Linked DNA regions of Mus musculus. The protein of the gene in region 1 interacts with the protein of each later gene in a pairwise test. Links are inferred from orthologs where the notes say so. Each region holds a gene or a part of one and is shown in the gene's direction. Other genes may lie near its edges.

What was found. The genes of interacting proteins can lie anywhere in the genome.
Region 2: the proteins of Crx (region 1) and Qrich1 interact in binary tests that used the Homo sapiens proteins (3 or more experiments, as listed by UniProt). The two-hybrid records come from large-scale screens. The link is inferred for Mus musculus from reciprocal best matches to the Homo sapiens genes CRX and QRICH1.

What each region holds. Positions count from the first base shown.
Region 1 is NC_000073.6:15,867,685-15,869,964, reverse strand, and holds part of Crx (cone-rod homeobox protein), read left to right. Parts: intron 1-470; coding exon 471-622; intron 623-1,537; coding exon 1,538-2,185; 3' UTR 2,186-2,280. UniProt on the Homo sapiens protein: Transcription factor that binds and transactivates the sequence 5'-TAATC[CA]-3' which is found upstream of several photoreceptor-specific genes, including the opsin genes.
Region 2 is NC_000075.6:108,527,072-108,530,597, forward strand, and holds part of Qrich1 (glutamine-rich protein 1), read left to right. Parts: intron 1-1,517; 5' UTR 1,518-1,538; coding exon 1,539-1,847; intron 1,848-2,816; exon of another isoform or gene 2,817-2,914; coding exon of another isoform or gene 2,915-2,944; intron 2,945-3,526. UniProt on the Homo sapiens protein: Transcriptional regulator that acts as a mediator of the integrated stress response (ISR) through transcriptional control of protein homeostasis under conditions of ER stress.

The sequences.
Region 1 (2,280 bases):
TGGGAGGCTGAGGTAGGAGGATCTCTTGAGACCATGATTTCAGGGCTAGCCTGGGCTATGTAGTGAAACCCTGTTGTAATGAAAGAGAGGGGGAGGGATAAAAGGAAGGGGAAGAGAAAAGGGAGGATAGGAGAGAGAGAAGTAGGAAGAAAGGAGGAAGGGGAGAGAGAGGAGGAGAAGGAAGAGAAGAAAGGGAAGGAGGGGGTAGGAATGAAACAAGAACAAAATGGAAGGGCAAATTCTTGTAGGGCTAAAACCAGTTTCTGTCAGTGAATGAATGACTGGAACACAATTCCTCAATTCCTCTGGGGACTGAGCAGCCACTAGGAGGCCAGAGAATCAATCAAAGCTCCTTGTTTAGGCTGATGGACGTGAAGAAAGGTCTTTGGGACAGGTATTCCTCTGTACCTCATGGCCTCTGGCGAGCAGACCTAGCTATCCTGAGGGTTCTTTAATTTGCCCCCGCTTAGGTGCCCCTAGGAAGCAGCGGCGGGAGCGGACCACATTCACCAGGAGCCAGCTGGAGGAGCTGGAGGCCCTGTTTGCCAAGACCCAGTACCCGGATGTGTATGCACGTGAGGAGGTTGCTCTTAAGATCAATCTGCCTGAGTCCAGGGTCCAGGTAGGATGATCTGCTCCCTGGACCCCTCATACCCTTACTGTAACTTTCTGTGGGCCTGTGTCAGATCCAGAGTGGATGAAAGAGAGAAGCCAAGGGTAGCAGCCATATTTATGAAGTGGTCTAAATGCCCCTCACGTTCCATATGTCACTCTTCTTATATGATGCCCTGTGTATGCCAGGTGTATGCTCTACCACTGAGCTACATCCCTAGCTTTGGTATTATTATATCTATATGTAAAATTGCATGCATATGTGTACTATGAAATTGGCTGTATCATGTATCATGATGGCATGTATCTATGCATATATGTACTTATGCATAGATACATGATTGCATGTATGATATGTGACTATAATGCATGTATGATTACATATACATAATCATGAGTAGGAGCATGTTAATATAATGTGTTCATACGTGCATGACTGTATGTATGATATGTGAGTATAATGCATGCATTCATAAGCAGGAACAAGTAAATATAATATGTTCATATGTGTATGATTACATGTATATATGTGAGGACAATACACAATTGCATACATATTCATGGGATCAGGTGGGTGGCTGAATGCATGTATGTGTATGTGTGTGTGACTGCATGCATATTATGTGAGAATAATGTATGATTGTATGTATGCATGTGTGATCAATCAGGTAGGTAGGTGATACATGATGACTGGTATATGCATGTAGTGTATAATTGCCTGCATGTATGATATGTGTGTGTGATCAGTGCATGTAGGTTTCTGTGTGCACGTGTACATGCATGATTGGACAGGTACACAGATCATGGACAGAGCTGCCCTATCATTGGATGCAGAGTGGTGATGTGTGGGTCTTACCATCAGCTTTGTCTGCTCTTGGCATGTGAGTTCACTCCCCTTCCCCCCATATTTCCTCTCTCTATCTAGGTCTGGTTCAAGAATCGTAGGGCGAAATGCAGACAGCAGCGACAGCAGCAGAAACAGCAACAGCAGCCCCCGGGGGCACAGACCAAGGCTCGTCCTGCGAAGAGGAAGGCAGGGACATCCCCGAGACCCTCTACAGATGTTTGTACAGATCCTTTGGGCATCTCAGATTCTTACAGCCCATCTCTGCCTGGCCCCTCAGGTTCACCTACCACAGCAGTGGCCACCGTGTCCATTTGGAGTCCAGCCTCAGAGGCTCCTTTGCCTGAGGCCCAGAGAGCCGGCCTAGTGGCTTCTGGGCCCTCTCTCACCTCAGCCCCTTATGCCATGACCTATGCCCCGGCTTCTGCTTTCTGTTCTTCCCCTTCAGCTTATGCATCTCCAAGTTCCTATTTCAGTGGGTTGGATCCCTACCTTTCGCCCATGGTGCCCCAACTTGGGGGTCCGGCTCTCAGCCCCCTCTCAGGCCCCTCTGTGGGGCCATCCCTGGCCCAGTCCCCCACCTCCTTGTCAGGCCAGAGCTATAGCACCTACAGTCCTGTGGACAGCCTGGAATTCAAGGACCCCACAGGCACCTGGAAATTTACCTACAATCCCATGGACCCTCTGGACTACAAAGATCAGAGTGCCTGGAAGTTTCAGATCTTGTAGAAGGGGCTTCATATCCCCCCTTCCAGCGGAATCACTCTTTCTGGACTCAAGCTGTCTCCTCCAGCTTAGATTCCAGGAGAGTAGCTCTCAGCAAG
Region 2 (3,526 bases), on another chromosome or scaffold:
TAGTAGAAATAAAATGTCAGTAAGGGCCAGGTGACCAGACAAAGTTACATAGTAAGACCCTGTTTCAAAAAAAAAAAAAAAAAAAAAAACCAACCAAACAAAAACATGTCAGTAAGTAGGAATCTGCTCATATCTCCCTCCCCTTGTTTGGTATTCTTTTCTGTGGTATTAGGACAGTTATTTATTTGGAGTTAGGGTCTCACTCTATAACTCTGATTGGCCTGTAATTTGCCCTGTAGACCAGGTTGGTCTCAAACCTTTAGATTTCCACCTGCATCTGCCTTTTAAGTCCTTTGAAGAAGGGTATATGCAAACAGGCATGGGAGTGGTTTTGCATGCCACATTACTGTCTAATTCTTGACTCCATAGAGAGGATGAAATTGGCCTGGTGCTGGATGGAAAATATAATTCCAGCCTATTCTATCCAGTACTTGAATGTGCTTGATTTTTTTTTTAAGTATGATAGTTTAAGAACTGTTGAAGGCCCAAGCAGTGTTGGCACATGCCTTTAATCCCAGCACTCAGGAGGCAAAGGCAGGTGGATCTCTATGAGTTCAAGATCAGCCTGATATACACAGTGAGTTCCTGGATAGCCAGGGCTGTTACAAAGGGCTGTTCCCTGTCTAGGAAAATCAAACAAAATATTGAAAGATGATGAGCATATTATTCTGGCTTGCACCTGTAATCCCAGTACTCAGGAGTGGGAGAATTTCCTTAGGTTCTAAGCCAGCCTGGGCTACATGGAAATCTAGCACAGATGGGCCACAAGGGCTGGTGAAGTGCTAACAGCAGATGAGAGGCACTTATATAAGCCTATGAGTTTCAACCCTGGAACCCGTGTAAATGTGGTAGGAAAGAACAAACTGTACAAACTTAGTCTTCTGCCTCTGTACACTTGTCATGGCATGTGTGCTCTGTATTATCTTGTACACACACTGAACATTAAAAAACAAAAATACCTCATGGAGACGGGCACAACTCTCAAGGCAGATGCAGGTGAATCTCTGGAGTTGAGGCCAGCTTGTCAACATAGCAAGTTGCAGGCCATCCAAGGATTCATAGTAACAACCTTATTTAAAAGAAAAAAAACCCACAATTTATTTTGGGGAGAAAGGGAAGGTTTAATATAAAACTTAAGTATTTTGTGTGTGTGTGTGTGTGTGTGTGTGTATGTATACACACACACACATATGTATATATGATGTTATATATAATACACAGACTATTTCATTCTCATTGCCAGTTATTGTGTCTGTGTATTTCGTGATTTCAAGATATACAAACAGTAGGATTGGTAAGGTGGCTCAGTAGGTAAAGCCACCTATTGCCAAGCTTGATGACTTGATTTTGATCCCTGAGAACTACATGGTGGAAAGAGAAAACCAACTTAAGTGGGTTGTCCTCTGACTTCTACACGCATGTCTTGGCATGTGCATGCCTATACCCCAATAATTAATGTAAAAAATATAAAACCAATATGCTAACAGCAGAGTGTTGACTATCCGTTTTAATTTTAGGAACCCTAAGGACTCTGCAATATGAATAATTCTCTAGAGAACACCATCTCATTTGAAGAGTACATCCGAGTAAAGGCGAGGTCTGTCCCGCAACACAGGATGAAGGAATTTCTGGACTCACTGGCTTCTAAGGGACCAGAAGCTCTTCAGGAGTTCCAGCAGACTGCCACCACCACCATGGTGTACCAGCAGGGTGGGAACTGCATTTATACAGACAGCACTGAAGTGGCTGGGTCTTTGCTTGAACTTGCTTGTCCAGTCACAACCAGTGTTCAACCACAAACTCAGCAAGAGCAGCAGATCCAGGTTCAGCAGCCACAGCAGGTTCAGGTAAGAGGAAATATTTAGTTGGAGCCTGTTAATAAACTTTTCTCTTCTCTCACAGTTTAGGATAGCTACAACACACCTATACAGATGTTAGAAATGCTGGAAGTTATTTTATTGTAGTGTGGAATCTTTCATATTTAATATGGACTGATAATATCTTTAGCCATTGTAAACTATAAAGTCCACAGATACTTATTTGCTTTAGAGAGCTTGAATAGTACAGAAAAGTAGAGGCCAGCACTGCATTTGAATGTGAGAGCTTCAAGCTGTACAGATAGTTGTGAGCCTTCATATGGTTGTTGGGAATTGAATTTTAGGACCTCCTCTTGCTCCAACTCTCCTCCCTCAGTCCTTGCTCGCTCTGGCTCAAAGATTTATTTGTTTATTATTATTATTATATATAAGTACACAGTAGCTGTCTTCAGACGTGCCAGATCACTTTACAGGTGGTTGTGAGCCACCATGTGATTGCTGGGATTTGAACTCAGAACCTTTGGAAGAGCAGCCAGTGCTCTTACCCGCTGAGCCATCTCGCCAGCCCTTATTTTTTTATTTTGAGACAGGATTTTATACTGTATTCCATGTTGTCCTGACTACCTTCAAAGTCAAAACATACTCTTATTTCAGCTTCCTTAGTTCCTGGGATTACAGGTGAGTACCATGCCCAACTGCATTTCCCTCATTAGTGATCATAGAGAGTAAGAAAATTCCTCACAATAGCAGGGGGGAGAAGAAGAAGATCAAACCCCACTAAATGTGGCTGGTAAAGTGGCTCAGCAGGTATAGTGCCTGTAGCAGAAATAGTGACCTGAACCCAGTGCTAGAACCCATAGATGAAAGAAGAGAATAGATTCCTCAAAATTGTCCTCTGACTTCTCTGCACATACACTGTGACACATGTGCACCCATATATTACATTAAAAACACATGTAATAACAAACATGGTTTTAAACCTCTCTAAATTTTAACCAGGTGTAACTCAAGTGTAATTTATGCTCTCCGAATGCTGACACTACAAAGTAAGATCCTGTCTGAAAGAAAAGAGAAGCAAGCCACTGAGTCTTCTGACCATGATAGCACATGCCTGTAATTCTAGAATTGTGAGTTCTGGGTCCATCTTGGTCAATTCTGAATAATTGATAAAAATAAAGTACAGATACAGAATAAGGTAACAAGAGAATTGTTGGGAAGAGGGAAAAGTTCTCTGGATTTACCAAGCTGAGATCTAAATGTTACTTTGAATGATCCTCTATAGATAGACAAAGATTGGGTACTGAACAAGCATTTTAAAGCATACATTCATTCCTCAAAAGCTGTTAGGGATTCTAAAGCAACCATTATCCCTCGAGTTTTGAGGAATTCATTTTAGGATCCCCTGCAAGCTCATATTAAAATGGCATTGTAAACCAACACATATTTTCCTTGTATTCGTTCTTTAAATCTTGTCCAGGTTAAGTATATTACTCAAAACAACTTATGTGCGTGAGGTGTTTGTGTGTGCATCTCTAGAGGTCAGAGGTTGATGTTTGCTTATTTCCCACATCTTTGTTTTTCTCTTCCTCCTAGTGACATTCTCTCTCACTGAATCTGTGGCTCACTGAGTGGCTATTGTAGCTGGCTAGTGAGACTCTGGAATCCTCTGTTTAGAATTACCTGGATATCATACTTTTCATGTAGATGCT